2 linked regions of the Drosophila melanogaster genome follow. The protein of the gene in region 1 interacts with the protein of each later gene in a biochemical or structural test. Each region holds a gene or a part of one and is shown on either strand. Other genes may lie near its edges.

Region 1 (11,756 bases):
AGGAAACAACGGCCACATCGAGCACAGAAGCTACAGCTCCAACTCCAGCTGCAGCAGCACCAGCACCAGTCCAGTTTGTGTTCAAGGCACCGACTACCGCAACCACGGCCAGTTCACTCACCACCACAATCAGCACCACCAGCAACGCTCCTGCTTTGGGTGGCTTCAGCTTTGGCGCTCCATCATCGTCCTCTACAGTTTCCAGTTCGACGACTAGTACCAGTGCGAATCCCGCGGCTGTCAAACCGATGTTCAGCTGGTCCGGAGCTGGCAGTGCCGTGAGCAGCACCAGTAGCAGCCAGCAGCCAGTGGCCAAGGCGCCAACCCTAGGTTTTGGTGTTTCCTCCAGCACCGTAACAACGACAACAACCTCTACGAAAGTTTTTGCTTTCACACCGGCATCTGGTCTAGATCCGGCAGCAGCCACCTCGGCACCAGCTGCAGGTGCCGGCTTCAGTTTTGGAAGTCAGTCAAAGCCAGCAACCACACAGAACACTGGAACCTTCTTCTTTGGCCAGCCAACAGCGGTTGCGCCAGCAACGCCAACCAACCCTAGCGTGAGCTCCATCTTCGGAGCACCGGCAACAAGTACCACTGCAAGCACCAGCGTGAGTGCCACCACCAGCACCAGCACCGCCAACGCCATTGCTTCCAGCTTTGCGCCCACCTCGACCCCTCAGCTCTTTGGCAATTGGGGTGAAAAGAAAACGGACTTGACCACCTTTGGTGCTTCTTCCGGTTCGGGAACGACTACAACGCCTAGCTTCGGCTGGTCGAGCAATGGAGATGCGGCAAAGAGCAACAGCGCTGCGGTCGGCAGTGCGGCGGTGCCTTCGTCTTCGGCCTCCACGATGGCGACTCCGATATTCGGCAGCAGTTCCATGTTTGGACCATCCAGTAGCAGTAACAACACCACCAGCACCAGCACCACTAGTCTACCATTCGGATCAGCGGCGACCACTGCCGCAACTACGCCGGCGGGCGGCAATGCAGCCCTTACTGGGTTATTCGGCAATGTGGGCAACTCTCTAGCGGGAGTAGGAGCTCCTGTAGCCACAACACCAGCGGCAACAGCTGCTGCTCCATTGACCAACATCTTTGGCAATCCCACGCCAGTTGCTGCTGCCGCGCCTGTCTTCGGCAGCGGAAGCACCATCCCAAGCGCAGGATTTGGAGCGCCTGCTGCAGCTGCTCCGTTGGCGGCCCCAGCGTTACCAGGAGCATTTAACTTTGGCGGAGCAACTGCAGCCACGCCAGCTGTAAGTACATTTATACGAATTCAATTCTGCACGAATTCCAATCCGCTTTTTCGCATATTGCAGGCCTCAAGTGCTCCATTTGTATTCGGAAGCAGCACCAATGAGCCGCTGGCCAAACCGTCGTTCAACTTCACCGGCTCGGCGGCCAGCTCGACTGCTCCTGCGCCAGCCTTCAATTTCACGGCCAATACGGCGGCCACTAATAATCCCTCCGGTGGCGATGTAAGTATACGATTTCCACCCAACTCCCAGTAGATCACCAAACCACCAGTCCACCACCCCGCCCCACCTGATCAACTTATATAGTATTCGCAGTACAAGCACAAGGTGATCGATGGGAGATGAGCGCCTGATGTGATGATGAAGTAGATCGATCACACCACACACTCACTCACCCAGGTTTCATCCATACAAATGTGTTTGCGATTGTTTGTAGTCGTAGCTGTCCGTCATATTTCCTTTTAATTTTCCGACTTGCATGCCCACGTTATAGAAATTATAACAATGCGATCAAAAATCGATCGATCCCCCTAATATAAAACATACCTGGCCGACATTGTATATTAATTTAGAGCTAGTTACTTACCGTATTGATTTTACCTTCTAACTTTTATACATACATACAACGTCTCTCTATCTATATATATATATATATATTTATTTGTATTCTTCTCTCATTTTCTTTTTTATCTTTTTCCACAACCCTTTCTACACAAAAACGGTCGTGCGTGTTGTTACTGTTGAATAATATTGTCGTATACCATGTAACTTAATGTATACACTCCTTAACTACGCAACTTCCGTAAATCTGTAATGTACACTCTATGTACTGAAAAAAAAAAAACGAAAACTCTGTGGGCACGGGCACGAATCAACTTTACTACCATCCATCCTACTACTACCTATTATTATAATTACCAATCCTTCTGCAAAATGAACATGAAAATGAACTACCCGGTAAAATGAACATGAAAATGAACTACCCGGCAAAATGAACATGAAATTGAACTACCCGGTAAAATGAACATAAAAATGCACTGAATGGATCTGCAAATGAATTCGAATCGCAATACAGTCGCATCCGCGCATCTTCCAATTCGGTAGTTCGCAACCGGCGGCCAATAACCAGTTTGGTGGTGCGGGCGGTGCCACCAACAACTCCGCCGGCGGTATGCCCATGTTCAACTTTTCGCCCGGGGCGCCGCAGATGCAGGTAATGCGAGGTCATGCGCGATATCCAGAGAGTTTCGCCGACTCGATTTTAACGATATCCGATTGCTAATACCCAGTACTTTATGCCATTTCTTATGTACTCATAAATGCATATGTAGAACGGGGAATGCCAAAGAAATTCGCGCATAATCAATTGTATATAACTTAGTGTCATTTCTTATAATACAAATAGTACAAAGGCTTTTACAAATCTAACATGTATTAGTTTATTATATATTTAATATGTTTTAGAGTACATCTTAATTTTGATTCTAGATTTCATTTTTAAATCGTAGAGTATAGGATTCCCTAAAATGCAGCTAGTACATATTTTCTTTGGCACTCTCCGTGTATGAAAGTCACATTATAACCATTATTTATGCATATCTTGCTTGTCTCATCTTGCTCCATTAGCTGTAGTTGAATGCATGCACATATTTCTGTAGTTGTAAGTAGTTTTCCTAGAACGCATGTGTCGCAGGGCTTGTCAAATGATACATACCTAACAATTAGAATCGAAAGTAGATTTTTTTCAATGTGTTATATATGTATGTATGTTTCCTGTGTAGTTAAGCATGCGTTAACGGTATATTTTTGACAAGCTCTCACGTATGCACACCATCCCCCACCTCCCACACGCATGCACGTACACACACACACACACCACACACATACAAAGATGCACAGCAGTTGTCATTCTTCATATAGCAATTTCCATCAAAATTTTCAATTTGTACATAACCAAAAAAAAAAAAAGCACATAATACCCATCAACCATCCAAAACCCAATCTGTATGTAGAAGAAGAAGCAAATATTAACCATCAACCATCGTGATCCGTCCTATAAAACCAAAAGAAAAAAAACCAACGAAATTTACTTGCTATACAAAACCAACTTACCAAGGAAAACATACCAAAAATATTCTTCTTGCAGTCCACACCGAATGCCAATGCACTGTTCCAATTTAGCGCGACCTCCACAGCGCCAGCCAATATATTTGCGTAAGTAAGACAGAGACGGATGTTCCGATCCGTTGGTGAAGGGTTGTCACCCACAAATGCGAGCGAGACAGACGTAAGAGCGGCCCGAAGAGAGAGAGAGAGAGAGAGAGAGAAGTTTACGCGCTTTTTGTTGCTGTCGCCCTCTTTCCGTACTTTGAATTGATCCTTTTACCAACACAATCGAAGAACACAGAGACACACACACACAAACACACACAGCTGCATTATAATTGCATTTGTTTTATTTTTAAGCATTTCGTTTTGTTGTGCGTACCATTTGTTTTGTTTTTGTTGAGAAGAAAAGCTTACTACCTATCATATTTACACATGGGTAAAATAGGCATTAACAAGATTGTTCAGTTTTCCGAATTTTGAAAAGCAGGCTTAAATCAATTGGCCAAAAAAAAATGTGGTATGTTAGCTTAAAATGGGCTTTATACATTTACAATGTTTTAAAATCAAGTGATCTAATTAAAAAAGATTTTCAAAGAAAAATATATTCGTAATTTAAGTTTAGAGAGACAAAATTCTTACAATCATTACTTACTATATGTTTTCGCCCTCATTTACCATTTATGTTCATAAAAAACTGGTTTAAGCTGTGCTTAAAAAAATCAACTAATGAAAAATGAATAGTATTATAAATCAATCATTTTAATCATATTGTCATATATGGAAACTGGCCACAAGTGAAAACTAAATCGAAGTTAAAAACGCATCCATTTCCTCCACGGAATGGTTTATTTACCATTGTGTAAATAGGATATATGTAGCATTTTCTATATCCTGCGAATTTCATATTTTACTATAGTTTGTGTTTGTCTTATTTGTGTGTGCCATATTGTTTCGTTTTGTTCATAGCATTTCGTATCCATATATTATTTGTTCAATTAATGTTTTTTGTCCACATTACTCGCTGTAAGCAGCAGCAGCAACCGCCAGTGGGAGTCTCGAAATTGACCAACCAAATATGATAATGATACTAATCCATTGTTAATCCGCAGCTTCAATCCGCCAGCTGCGGGCAACTCGGCGCAGAGTTCCCAGACGGCTCGCCGCAAAATCCGCGCCCCCGTACGCCGTTTGCCGCCCCGGTAGAAATGGCATCGCAGTCGGCCATCACGATAGCAAATGAGGCCGCCGTCGGATTAGGATTAAGATATTGGCAGCCATTGCCGAGAGTAACAGAATCAGCAGTAGCAGCAAAAGCATCAAGGGCCGAAAAGGAAAAGCAAGACACAGAAGACGCCGGCAACAATAGTGGGCTCAAAGGTTCGGTCCAGAGCCAATATCACCAGGAGCCAGATATTCAAGGATCATCGAGGATAAACATGCAGTCACCAAAGTCGCCATGTGTGAACAAATACCGCTTCGTACGCCGCCACAGCCTGAACTCTGAAACCAGGAAACCCTTTAGCAGGAATATTTGGCAGAATACAACAGGAGAAGGCAATGAAACCAATGGCGACGATGTCCCTAAAACACCAACAACTGGCGACCAGGAGGACAACCAACAGGAGGAACGAGATTCAGCGGTATATACATCAACAGAACGAACTGTACTAGTAAGGACCCAATTCAAGATAGTGCGGCAAAGGAGCGTCATCTCGAAACCGAGACAGAAGCCTCCGACTTACTCTTAAAAAGCTAAGGAATAGGTTCGTTCCACATCCTTCTCTGCTCTCCGATGATTGGGAGATGACCACGCGAATGTCGCTCATACTACGCATATTGATGATTACAAATTATAAAAACACTTCGTTGGATTTACGCGAGAATTCATCGCACCAAAAAAAAAACGAAAATGAATATATTTTAACGTTATTTTTGTTGAATATATAATATACCTTAACGATAATTATGTAATAATTATTTTGCGAAATAGTAAAGAAACGTGTAATGCTGCAATCAAACAGAGATGCGAGGCCATGTAATAGCGCAAAAAATCAACTACTGTATAATGTAGTAATACGTATATTCGAGTTATTGGCCGATACGTCGAGCATATGATGATTGCAGTCAGATAAGAGCGATCGGCAAACGATTGCATTAAGTCTTTAGTTTTTGTTATTAATTTTAGCGTTTAGATTCACACACACACAATTCACACGAGGAAAATACCTGCAACGACGTTCTGTGCAGCAGCCAAGGTGGAAAGCCAACAAATTAAAGAAAAACAACTATCTAGCAACGTAAAGAAACCAACCAACCCTATAGCTAACAAGATAACAGATTAGATGAAAAGATTAGAGAGAATGGTGGCAAACTGGAAAACCGAAAGAGTTATAATTGTATGCATGTTTTTTATATACATAAATTCATAAAGAACATTTAATATTTTATTTTAAGTTTATATTGATCATTTTTAAGTCGAGAACAGAAATGGAAATCAGAAGTCTATGTTGAGAGAGAAACGGTATCATAATGTAAATAAGTAAATATATGCGGTATGATAATTTAAACATTGTGCTCTTTACTTGGGTTTTCAACTGGAATTGCAATGAAATTCTATAACGAATATTTGGTGTCTTAAAGTACATATCTTACTTTGAATGGTAATTGTTTTCAGCGCGAATACTTTACAAACATTTGAATTTCGAAAAGCCAGTTGACCACAGGCGAACTCACCATGCCACGGCAACGGTCACACTGCCGCCATTGCGATAGACATCGATAGCCGTTCCAGCACTAATACTCACGATAAACACCACCTCTATTTCTGGCATCGGCAATTATTTCCCTAGGTTTATTATTTTTTTGTTAAGCGAATTGCTTGTGCGCTCGTGCTGTCGCCATAATGTGTGCAATGTGTGCCAGCCAGAGGAGCAAGTGGTGAAGGTGTATCGCTTGTGCGCATCTCGATTTGTCCATCCATATCCAATTGAATCCCAGTTTCCCAGTCGCGTCCGCTGCTATGCGTGTGTGTGTGCGTGCGTGCCCGTGTCCCTGCATGTGTGTGTGTGAGTGAGATCGGGAAGAAGTTGTGTGCTGTTGTTGTTGTTGTTTCTGTCGGATTTGCCGTTGCCATCGTTTGTTGTTTGTGCATTTTCCATTGTCGGGCGACGCAACAAAAAGAAAAAAATTACACATTAAAAATAGAGAGCAAGAGCGAGAGGGAAGGAGTGGTGTGGAGTGGAAAAGGGCGGTAAAAGGGCAGAAATTTGGAGCACGGGAAATCCGAGTCGCTGAAGATGTTCTCGAAGAAGAAAAAGAAACCGCTGATCTCGATGCCCAGCAATTTTGAGCATCGTGTGCACACGGGCTTCGACAAGCGGGAGAACAAATATGTTGGCCTGCCCCTCCAATGGGCGTCCATTGTGGGCAACAATCAGATACTCAAGTCCTCCAACCGCCCGCTGCCACTGGTCGATCCCTCGGAGATTACGCCCACCGAGATTCTCGATCTGAAGACTATTGTGCGTCCGCATCACAACAACAACAAGGCGGACACCACCTCGCTCAACAGCAGCAGCACAATGATGATGGGCTCAATGGCGCCGATGAATCCCATGGCACCTGGCGCACACCCAATGATGAGCCATGGCCCCGGAATGATGATGCCACCCGAGACGGGCGGCATAGTCCTGCCGAAGACCTCTCACGTGGCCAGATCCAATTCGCTGCGGAGTTCCAGTCCGCCGCGAGTGCGACGGGTAGCCAATGTGCCGCCATCGGTGCCGGAGGAGGAGGGACCACCGGCAGCTGGAACACCGGGAGTAGGTGGAGCTAGTAGCGGTGGCTTTAAGCCACCCGGTGCCCATCCCTCCCTGCTCTATAACAGTCAGCATGCGCACGCGAATGGAGCAACAGGACCACTGGCCGTGCGCACGGATCAAACCAACCTGCAGCAGTATCGCAGCAATCTGGCCCCGCCATCCGGCGGCTCCATGCCCCAGCAACAGCAGACTTCGCCCGTGGGTTCGGTGGCCAGTGGCACGCGATCCAATCACTCGCACACGAACAATGGCAACAGCGGCGGCAGCTATCCTCCCATGTATCCCACAAGCCATCAGCAGCAGCAGCAGCAGCAACAGCAGGCCAAACAGGGTGGCGATCAGAACCAAAATCCTCTGCATCCGCATGCTCATCCGCATCCGCACCATCACCAACATTTGGCCAAGTCGGCGTCCAGGGCATCCAGTTCCAGCGGGGGAGCGAGCAGTGCTGCCCAGCAGGCGAGCGGCGCCAGTGGAGGAGCGGCGGGTCAGCCAAAGCAGGACCAACGACTCACCCACGAACAGTTCCGTGCCGCCCTTCAGATGGTGGTCTCCGCCGGTGATCCACGCGAGAACCTCGACCACTTTAACAAAATAGGCGAGGGCTCCACGGGCACCGTATGCATTGCCACGGACAAATCCACAGGCAAGAACATCCGCTTTAACTATTGTCAAAACCATTGAATTAATGGCATTTGGTTTTCTCATTACGTACAGGTCGCCAGGTGGCCGTGAAGAAGATGGATCTGCGCAAACAGCAGCGACGGGAGCTGCTATTCAACGAGGTCGTCATCATGCGGGACTACCATCATCCCAATATCGTGGAGACATACTCCAGCTTTCTGGTCAACGATGAGCTTTGGGTGGTGATGGAGTACCTCGAGGGCGGCGCCCTCACCGATATTGTCACCCATTCGCGCATGGACGAGGAGCAGATAGCCACCGTCTGCAAGCAATGCTTGAAGGCTTTGGCCTATTTGCACTCACAGGTGCGTGACCAGCATGACACTGCCCCTTTCCTGTCCCCGTTCCCATTACCATTCCCTTGGCCAAACTGGGCAGCAGAGAACGGAGTACTCGCCATCATGCGATTCTTTGTGCCTTTGTACCTTGCCATTTGCGGCGCTTTCTTCGCCCTCCGCTTTCGCGTGGCTTTGGTTTCAATTTCTAAATGTTGTCACCAACAAAAGTCGTCGGCCGCACAGTGGGCCATCGAGTGGCGTAGCACGCCCAAAGTGCCAGGTGAAATCGCACGTGCATGCCCTACCTCAAAGCGAAAAGTGTGCATAGAGCGATTTTCGAATGGATAGTTAATTGCATCTTATGATGAAGGAAGTTTAAAGTTATAGTTCATTACTCATTGATAGATAAGCCAATTTGCTATGATTTTGCCTGAGATACAACTTGAGATATTAAAACTATCAATATTAGAATAGCATATAATAATAATATTAAGTCAGTCAGTCAATTGGAACTTGTTTAAGCCCCAACATTTCACAATACTAAGCATTCCTAATGTTTTAGATGTAGTCTATTTAAATGAAATTAGAACTAGAACCCAACCTGTTTATGCTATCTTCCACGTTAGGGAAACCAGCGTGTTCCCAAGAGCAGGAAATTCTTTTTGGGCGTTGCAGGGTCGATCTGGTTTCTTTTGTGCATTTCTGTCCCACGTTGGCTCGTGTAATGCGATAAGTGTCTGTCTGCGGGAGAAAGGGCGTTGGTTGGGGGAAAACCGCAAACTGTGAACGCTTTTAACCAATTTCCCTTCTCTCTCTGTCTCTTTCGACGGTGCTGCCGATGGCGATAAACCATAAACAGGGCGTCATTCATCGCGACATCAAGTCGGACTCGATTCTGCTGGCCGCCGATGGTCGCGTGAAGCTATCGGACTTTGGATTCTGCGCCCAGGTGTCACAGGAGCTGCCGAAGCGCAAGAGTCTGGTTGGCACGCCGTATTGGATGTCGCCGGAGGTCATATCGCGCCTGCCGTACGGCCCGGAAGTGGATATCTGGTCGCTGGGCATCATGGTCATCGAGATGGTGGACGGCGAGCCGCCGTTCTTCAACGAACCGCCGCTGCAGGCGATGCGTCGCATCCGTGACATGCAGCCGCCGAACCTGAAGAACGCGCACAAGGTCTCGCCGCGCCTGCAGTCCTTCCTCGACCGGATGCTGGTGCGGGATCCGGCGCAGCGTGCCACCGCCGCCGAGCTGCTGGCCCATCCCTTCCTGCGCCAGGCAGGACCGCCGTCGCTGCTGGTTCCGCTGATGCGCAATGCGCGACACCATCCGTAGTTGGATGCCACTGGACAACCCAGACGATCCGGCTGCTCGATGAAAGCAATCATTCCCACAGACAACGGATCCCGGCCCGTGGGCATCCATCTATTAAATTCTAGTATTAACATTCAGTTTGGCAGCTGTACTTAAATCCCCGGAGAATCCTCGAAACGTTGTAAAGTCATTTAAGCTCCGCACATCCATATCCATATCCATGCCCACTAACGTTCCAGAAGAGAACGCAATGTGCCTTTCACAAGCCTCGAAATCGAAATTGAAATCGCATCCTGCAACCGATACGGATGGAGAAACGATATAGCATTTATCTGCCCGAGAACCACATTTTTATATATATATATATATATACATATATGAGTATTTCAGCATTTTGCTCTCTGTCTCTTGTCAATATTGATTTGTGTGCGTGTGTGTTTGATTTTTTTTAACCAGCCCATAAAACATTGTTCGAATATATACATATATACGCTAAGAGCTAATGTTAAAAATCTATATATATATATATATACACATATATTTTTTATAAAAACAAATCCTAATTCTAAGCAAAAGCGAAACAACGAAGGTGTGAATCGAAGGGAGACAGAAAACGAAAGAGAAAGAGATAGCGTTAGGCGGAAGAGCATATACAATTTCGACATAAATATTTTTTAAACATTTTACATTTTACATTGGTGTGAAAAGTTTGTACGCTCCAGACATACACATATGCATATATCTAAACACATTCCCGATTTCGAAAATATTTTAGAACTTTTAGCTTACATTCTTTGTTCTGTTTTTTTGATTTAACCCGTGTAATTATTAATTAATGAATAAACTTAAATGCGAAAATGTTCAATTTTGTGGTTTCATTCATAGTTAAAAACTACCAAAAATAACTAGAAATCCAAAAAAAAATTTCTGAATAGAAATATTGAATATTTTAATATTTTATTCGACATTTTGGAGTTTCATTTTAAAGATATTTCTGTTTTTTTTATTACAAACTAATTGAAAAATGCATGTTTCGATTTTGTTGTTTTTATTACTGGTTGATTGATTGTTTGATTGATTGATTGATTGTTTGATGGTTGTGAAGAATACATAATTGTGCCCGCTTAAATACTCGCACATATATTCGCAAAATATATATGCGTATTTATCGCGTACATGAAGGATGGGGTACTGGCTCTGGATAAGTGGGCGTGGTCGTTGTGGCGTTGGTGGGTGGGTGTGTGTGAGTTGAGTGAGTGTTGTGTGTGCGCGTGTGTTTTTGTTTACAACATAAGATTACAAATATATTACATACACGAAAAATCAATTGCGAACTAAAAACTAAAGGGCAGATCGGGCTGCCACATAGCTAGCCATATGATTCGATGGGTAGAGGGGGGGGGGGAGAGAGAGGGGAAATGTGGTGTTGGAGAGGGGGGGGAGGGTTTGTTGTTTGCTGGTCACTGGGAATGTGTGTAGAATAGGAGTTGGATCTGATTGACACTCAAATCAACGCTCAGTTGCGCTTCCGCAGGGCCAGACGACCGATGGGGCGCTTGGGCTTCGTCTCCTCCTTCTGCTGCTGCTCCGATTCCTCAGCGGCGGCATCCTCCACCGCCTCCACGGGCGTCGCCTTGGCGGGCTTCGACAGCTTGCGACGGCTCACTGGGGATAGTTAAAGCGTTAGTTAGTAATGGATTTAATAACTTGATATAGAGAGATGATTTTAAAGATTTCTATTCTAGTTTAATGTCAATTATTTCAAAATTAGTAAATTCAGAAGGCACTGCTAGTCCATTTAGAGCAAAATCCTGGCCTAATCCCTGACTAACTTACATGCTGAGTTGCCCTTGTAGCCCTTGGCGGGACTGGATGCTGGGGCGGGTGCTGGCGCGGATGCCTGCTCCTCCTGCTCGCCGGAGTTGGACTCGTCGCTCTTCTTGGCCGGCTTGCTGGGACTGGGCGGCTTCTCGGCACGGTGCTTCTTCGCGTTCGCCTGACGGCGCTTCAGCGAGTTGAGGAAGTCATCGTTGGAGCGGAACGGCCGGATAACCGGGCCGACCTTTTTGGGCGCCTCCGTGGTGGTGGTGGTGGTAGAGCTGGCAAAGGACGCCTCGTCGCCCTCCTCGCCATGATCGCCGTGCTCGCCGGTTTCCTCGTCATACTCCTCGCCCTCGCCGCCGGCATCCGCTTGTGCTGGCGCCGCTGTCGTCGTGGTTGTCACCTTGGCCGCCTTCCCGACCGGACGGCGCAGGGCGGCGATTCTCTTCGCCGGCGAAACGGCGGGACC
Region 2 (7,677 bases), 3.1 Mb from region 1:
ATATTGAATGCTTCTCGACGACGGGAGGCTGGGAAGGAGTCATTGCGATAGTAGAAAGCCAGAATGAAAGGGATACCGCGTGTGAGGAAAGCAGAATTATAAGAATTTGCACTTCCTTTTCTTTGTGGGCTCTGGTGGCTCGAGGGCGGCCAGGATGGCCTCGTCGAATACATTTTTCAGGCCCTTCTGTGTCAAGGCCGAGCACTCCACGTACTTGACGGCCTTCAGCTCCTTGGCCAGCTTCTCGCCCTGCTCCATGGTGATGGGCTTCTGCTTGTTCTTGGCCAGCTTCTCCAGCGTGCTGTTCTCGTCGCGCAAATCAATCTGTGTGCCCACCAGCAGGAACGGCGTCTTTTGGCAATGGTGTGTAATCTCGGGCACCCACTGCAAATGCAAAATGACTCACTTACAGTCTCGCCATGGCGTAGAATAGTCTTGTACGTACCTTCTCCTTGACGTTCTCGAAGGAACTGGGACTGACCACCGAAAAGCAGACAAGGAAGACATCCGTCTGCGGATAGGAGAGCGGACGCAGCCGATCGTAGTCCTCCTGTCCGGCCGTATCGAACAGGCCCAGTGTGTAGGGCTCACCGCCGATCATCACAGTGACCGCATAGTTGTCGAACACCGTGGGCACGTACTCCGACGGGAACTTGTTGGTTGTATACGAGATGAGCAGGCATGTCTTACCCACGGCTCCGTCGCCGACGACCACGCACTTGATGGTTTGCATGTTGTGCAGAGGGGTGATGACTCCTGCGGATTAGTGGGGGTTAGTTTGCCGGATTACACTGGGGGGATGACTAGTGGGTGCGGCTTCCCTGCTCCTGCTCGTACTCCTGCCAGAGTGACCGTTCGCCAGCGGCGCCTTATCAACGAGGAGGAGCGGAGCCCAGGAGAGCGGGGCGGCAGTGTGTGTGCAATGTACATATGTACATATCTGGGCAGAATGAGCGATGACTCAAGCCGAAGAAAGAACGGAAAGAATGGAAAGCAACGGCGCACACAGATAAGCCGGACGGGCATCAGAAAATTCTGATTGGACACACATACACGCAAACACTTGCGCGCAGGGGCGCAGCGAGTACGGCAGCTTGCGGTTGTGTGTGTGCGGTGCGTGTTCACTTGGTCTAATGCAGTTTTTGCTGCACTATTACTGGCTTTATGATGGTTTATTTGGTCACGGGACTGGCCGCCCAGTCAGCTGCTGGAGCTGCCCCCTGTTTTTAGCTATAGTCGGATTTTAGACGAGATTTGCAGACAAAAAACTAAAGAAATTTGGAAGCAATTATTTATCACACACGCACACTGCGGCACGGACCACACGCACATATGACACACACACACAGGCAGGCAGGCCCGTCATCGACATTTGGTTTTCATTCACTTTTCACTGGGCAAATTGAAACGCGTTGCGATCTATACGGCGGATGCTCGTTGCGGGCACCTTTTCCGCCTTACTTACAGTTATTTAAAATTTGCAACCGCTGTCGAATCCGTTTAGTTTTCCGCTTTTCTGGGCTGGGCTCGATACGTACGGAAAACTACTATTTCCTTTTGTGTTAGCGTTCTCTCTCTCCAGCGAGCTCTTTGCGTGCGAGTGACTAGCGCGGCGTTGCCATCCCGTCGCAGTACTCCCACCCGGCTTGCATCGCAATCGGTATGTTGGTATTTTCGGTGGAAGTTCTCTGTCACTGTAAGGGCTATATATCCGACCGATCGGGCAGAGCGGGACCAATATACTGCATACAGTTGCGGTAACAATAATAAGCGGATTTCGTGTTTGTCCCAGTGTTTCTGTATTTTCTGACACTTTTTCATCATTTTACTCACTAAACTTAAATACTACAATGATTTTCAATCGAAATAAAAAAATTAGTAACAGATCTAATGGATAAAATAATTGGTAAAACAAAAAAAAACCTTCAAATTTAGGCGGTAACAAAAATAGCACTGTTTCTTGTAGTTTGCCAAAACTAAATAAAAAAATTTTTTAAAAAATTTTTAAAAAAATTTAAACAAACGGATTATATCTTAAAAACTATGTTTAAAGAATCTTAATATTTGGTTGCGTGACCTATGCTGGTAATGACAGCTGGACATCGTCTTGGCATGGACTCCACCAAGTCCTGGCACTGTTTTTGAGGAATTTTGCTTCCTGAATCCTTGACCACACCCCAAAATTCCTCGTTATTATTGGGTCTGGCTTCAGAAACCCTTTTTTCACGTCCGCCCAAAGGTTTTCGATTGGATTCAAGTCGGGTGACTGAGCAGGCCATTTCATTACTCGGATCTACTTCTGCTCAAACCACTTTGAGCTTTCTTGCTCGTGTGTTTTGGGTCGTTATCCTGTTGAAATGTCCAAACCAACGGCATTTCATCCTCGGCATATGACAGTAAATGTGCTGATCCATGATGCTTTGAATCCAATGGATTGGAACTACTCCATACCATGAAAAGCACGCCCATACCATGATGCTTGATCCCCCGTTTTTTACCGACTTAAAGGTGAAGCGAGGATTATATTTAGTGGTGGACGTCGTGGTGGACGCCGAACATAAGACCGAGAGCCTTTCCCACCAAACAACACAATTTTGATCTCATCTGACCACAAAATGTTGCACCACTTCTCCATAGGCCAGTCCTTGTGTATCTTGGCATATTCGATTCGCTTTGCCACATGCTTCACAGTCAAAAGCGGTACTTTTTTGGGGCTGCACGCATTAAGGTTGTTTTGTCTTAAGCGTTTGCGAACTGTTTCCACGCTTGCAGCTATCTGAAGCTCCTTCTTCAGTTCCGTCGCCGGCTTAAAAGACTCCTTCTTGCTTTGCCAAACCAAGCGCTTGATCTCCACGTTGGACATTGAGGGCTCTCTTCGCCGTGTTTCCTTCTTTTCGACAAACAGCAGTGCTTTGCGGATCATTTTGTTTGAACAACCGACAATGCGACCAATTTCAGCGTAGGTTTTACGTTCAGAAATCATGTTTTTAATCAAATTTCTTTTTTCGACGGTACAATGCTTTCCGCGACCCATGACTAGAGAATTTTTTGTCTTCGTTTGGAAAAAATTCAATTAAAACCTTTATTGCAACTCCTTTTTTCAAAATTTGTCGAAAAAAAAACCCAAAGCAATCACTCCTATTAATTGTATTCAGCAAATACGTGATCGGTGCTATTTTTGTTACCACAGCAAGTGCCCAAAAACAAAAAGAACCGTTACATTGAGAGAGTAAAAATTTCTTGCTCAGAGAGACAACATATGGTTCTTATTATTCATGCAATCTGACTTAAAAAAATAAAACATTTAATTATTTTTTTTGGTAAATCAACTTTCCACCTGCAGTAGTGTTATTATTTTAACCGCAGCTGTATTCATCGTGTCATCGTGAAGTAATTGTTGGGTATAAAATATTCTCACTTGGCGCTATTTGTCACTGAGACAACTTTTAGATTCACTTTATCCCTCCCTCCCAAAAATATTCTATTTGTTTGGATACAATATAATCTCGGTTTTCTTAACAATATCTGCTGTTTGGGTTGGCTATTTGTGATTTCCATTTAAGAAAAAACAAACCTCGATTAGCGGTATATTTAGCACAACCCATTGGTATATCCCACAGCCAATTTCGAACTTCGAGGCAGTCACACTGGTGGATGTCGCTGCTGTGAAACGGGGCAGGACAAAACAATTGACCAATAGGAACCGAAACCAACACACTGCACTGGCCCCGGGATCGGAATGGCTGGATTCCTGAAGACAAGGTAATCACCTTGACCAAGGTAGTGAGGTCCCAGCGCTAATCAAACGCACACCATTCCTCCACAGAAAGCGCAGCCGGGAGGATGAACTGGCCTGCGAGTCGCCCCTTTCGAAGCGCATCAACAACCTGAATCTGAACTACGAGGATGGGAACAGCAGCAGCAGCAGCAGCTGCAGCATTCCGCCACTGTCGGGAGGAGGAGCGACTGGTGGATCCGGCGGGTCCGATGCAGCCGGAAACGGTGTGGCGGCCGGATACGAATACAACCCAGAACTGGGAGCCGAACAAAACCCATTTTACTACGAGAAGAACAAGATGCTGTACGACCTGCATGTCGAGCGCATCAAGCGGAGCAGCCAGTAGCTAGTGATCATGGATTCCGGTGTGCGAGTCCAAGTCCTGGCACAGCCATTTAAGTGCCAACACGAGTTATCTGCAGCAACACTCTCTCTAGGTTCAAAGTAATTCGCCTCCGTTCAGTCTTCTCTGCGCACGGATTCGGATATCCGTGTCTGGAGTCACTTGCGTTTGTGTGATAAGCATTGTTTACTTGCATGGCATTAGCATCACCCCTGATGCATACACATAATAATAGTAGTATAAATTGAGCTAAGAGTCCCCCAAACACGCACATGAATATATATAAACTATGTTCATCGGTTACCATCCCTTCAATATGTATTTATAATCCTGCATGTATAATTTATTCTAAGAATAATGTAAGAAAACCTCCATATCTTTATATTTTCCTATTTCGATGAAATACGATATCCAGGGGGGTACAAGTTCATTGCTGAGTCGGTGGAGATGGAAAATAAGCTACAGGGACCTGATAAAACGAAAGCTGGACTTATTCATTGTTTATATACGCATCTGCTGACATGGTCATTTTGCTTATTCCGAGAATTTAAGCATGGACCTGCAATACAAGAATACGTCCAATAAACATTTACATAGTAATACATCTCATCCTTAGACAAATCTTTAAAACAAATATTGCGCTCAAGGACTTCATTTTCCCAATTCGTGACCATTGACAGGGTGGCAACTCTATATAGCACTGTGTTATTTTAGTTAATTCATCTTTCATCAAATAGCTGATCAAATCTATTTCGCAGCATTCAAAAATTCGTATAACTAAAAATGAGTGTACAATTTGAAAAAACATATTGCGGTATATTTTGGTATTTGGACTACCACTGTTTTGCCAGTTTTTGAAAACTTTTGGAAAATGGAAAGTTAATATATTTTTAAGGTATTTAATATGTTTTCATGTGCATATATTGACATTTCAATGCTTTATGTCGTTTGAGATGGATTAATTTAAGCATTATGATTCCTCCATAAAATTGAAATGGAATCACCCTACTAAATATACAAGGCGTCTGCCAAAGCTGATTTTTCTGCATCTAACGGCTGGTCACACTGTCTATGTTTATGTCGCGCATATCGGGAATTTGTCGTACAATTGCGATTCGCGGTGCAAACAATCGAGTAAGTTGCCTATTCTCGTACTTGGTCGATGTGGAGACCCTTCTGCCGACCCTCAATCAGCTTCCACGCCAAAGGAGCTGGGTGAGCGGTTGAATAGTGGGCGCCAGGATGCCGTGGCCACGCAGTTCTTAAATCGCAGCGCCGCATAAACGAAGAGCCTTACTCTTTCTTTCTTTCCGCTCACAGCCATCAGCCCAAATTGCCATTGCCATTGCCCGGAGCACCGAATTGGCTGCAAAATGAGGCAGTCCGCGATAGGCGAGGACCGCAGGAGCAGCAACAAGGAATCGTGCCACTAGATGGCACAGGAGCACCAGAAGGACCAAGAATCAGATTAGCAGGAGCAACAAGTCCTTTGCACGCAACAGGTTATCACGAATTGCCCACAAGAGCACTCAGTTCCCACTCCAATCCAATTGCATCTAACGCATCACATCACATTGCGTCGAATCTAATCAAAACACATCACATAATCGCGATGAGCCCCTTCGGCTCCAAGAAAAACCGATCCCTGTCGGTGCGGGTGAGCACCTTCGACTCGGAGCTGGAGTTCAAGCTGGAGCCGCGCGCCTCCGGCCAGGATCTGTTCGACCTGGTGTGCCGCACCATCGGGCTGCGCGAGTCTTGGTACTTTGGGCTGCAGTACGTCGACACCCGCAGCAACGTGTCCTGGCTGAAAATGGAGAAGCGGGTGCGCGACCAGCGCGTTGAGCTGCACGCTAGCAATAATGTGTATGTGTTTAGCTTCTACGCCAAGTTCTTTCCGGAGAACGTCAGCGAGGAGCTGATCCAGGAGATCACGCAGCACCTGTTCTTCCTGCAGGTCAAGCAGAGCATCCTCTCCATGGACATCTACTGCCGCCCGGAGGCGTCCGTGCTGCTGGCCTCCTACGCGGTGCACGTGCAATACGGTCCGTACGACTACGAGACCTACAAGGACGGTATGCTGGCCGGGGGTGAGCTTCTGCCCAAGGGAGTGACCGATCAGTACCAGATGACGCCCGAAATGTGGGAGGAACGGATCAAGACATGGTACATGGACCATGAGCCCATGACGCGCGACGAGGTGGAGATGGAGTACCTGAAGATTGCTCAGGACCTGGACATGTACGGAGTAAACTACTTTCCTATTACGGTGAGAGCCTTGATTTTCACGTGGCGCATCTGAATCTTATCGTTTGTGTTCCCCACCAGAATAAGAACAAAACCAAATTGTGGCTGGGCGTCACCTCCGTGGGCCTAAACATCTACGATGAGCGCGATAAGCTAACGCCAAAGACAACGTTCCAGTGGAACGAGATACGGCACGTCAGCTTCGACGACAAGAAGTTCACCATTCGCCTGGTGGATGCCAAGGTTTCGAATTTCATCTTTTACTCGCAGGACCTCCACATCAACAAAATGGTAAGGAGGGCAGTTGTGACAACTGAAATATGTATATGTATTTTCACTATGTTCATGTTCCCATATTCATACTACACTTGCATCGTGTGCTTTGCAGATTCTTGACCTGTGCAAGGGCAATCACGATCTATATATGCGCCGCCGCAAACCCGACACCATGGAAATCCAGCAGATGAAGGCCCAAGCCAAGGAGGAGAAGCAACGCCGCCAGATCGAACGCAAAAAGTTCATCAGGGAAAAGAAGCTGCGCGAAAAGGCGGAGCACGAGCGCTACGAGCTGGAGAAGAGCATGGAGCACCTGCAAAACGAAATGCGCATGGCCAACGATGCACTTGTAAGACTCACTCCGCCCAGTGGCTTCTGATCTATAATATTGAGTTTCTCCCTGTATCCCAGCGGCGTTCCGAAGAGACCAAGGAGCTGTACTTCGAAAAGAGTCGTGTCAACGAGGAGCAGATGCAGCTGACCGAGTGCAAGGCAAACCACTTCAAGACGGAAATGGACCGGCTGCGCGAGCGACAAATGAAAATCGAGCGGGAGAAGCACGACCTGGAGAAGAAGATTCGCGACGCCGACTTCTATGTCCACCAGCTGACGGTGGAGAACGACAAGCGGGAGGCCGAGACTGAGAAGCTGCGCAAGGAGCTGATCTGCGCCAAAATGGCGGAGCGCGAGGCCACCGCTCGCCTGCTCGAATTCCTCAACAGCGGCCGCAAGTCCTCCACGGATAGCCTGCTGACCGCCTCCAGTGTGTCGCACGCGGCGAATACGGCGTCCAGCATGGCGGCCATCAGCACACCCTCCCTGATCACAAGCAGCTCAACCAATGATTTGGAGACCGCCGGCGGCGCCGAGCTGACCACCCACTCGTCACACTACCTGGTCCAAGGTGACAACTCCAGCGGCATTTCGGACGACTTCGAGCCCAAGGAGTTCATACTCACCGACAACGAGATGGAGCAGATCACCAATGAGATGGAGCGCAACCACCTCGACTACCTGCGCAACTCCAAGCAGG

What was found. Proteins that work in one complex are often made in the same cells at the same time.
Region 2: the proteins of mbt (region 1) and Cdc42 form a complex in vitro, tested with the Drosophila melanogaster proteins (one study listed by BioGRID).

What each region holds. Positions count from the first base shown.
Region 1 is NC_004354.4:16,604,528-16,616,283, forward strand, and holds mbt (mushroom bodies tiny), read left to right. Parts: upstream 1-6,157; 5' UTR 6,158-6,664; coding exon 6,665-7,835; intron 7,836-7,906; coding exon 7,907-8,178; intron 8,179-8,249; exon of another isoform or gene 8,250-8,747; intron 8,748-9,010; coding exon 9,011-9,487; 3' UTR 9,488-10,329; downstream 10,330-11,756. Other genes in the region: Nup153 (nucleoporin 153kD), read left to right, coding at 1-1,259, 1,323-1,481, 2,335-2,472, 3,406-3,473, 4,478-4,571; CG9782 (uncharacterized protein), read right to left, coding at 10,983-11,131, 11,303-11,756. UniProt on the Drosophila melanogaster protein: Involved in neurogenesis of the adult central nervous system, and together with Cdc42, regulates photoreceptor cell morphogenesis. Phosphorylates exogenous substrates when activated by Cdc42.
Region 2 is NC_004354.4:19,691,014-19,698,690, reverse strand, and holds the start of Cdc42 (cell division cycle 42), read right to left. Parts: upstream 1,601-7,677; 5' UTR 1,539-1,600; exon of another isoform or gene 1,466-1,538; intron 757-1,465; 5' UTR 734-756; coding exon 446-733; intron 385-445; coding exon 97-384; 3' UTR 1-96. Other genes in the region: CG14229 (uncharacterized protein), read left to right, coding at 3,740-3,762, 3,827-4,124; Mer (merlin), read left to right, coding at 5,734-6,390, 6,450-6,659, 6,757-6,993, 7,056-7,677. UniProt on the Drosophila melanogaster protein: Regulates mbt kinase activity and is also required to recruit mbt to adherens junctions. Together with mbt and Frl, regulates photoreceptor cell morphogenesis. Together with Frl, has a role in the neuronal development of mushroom bodies.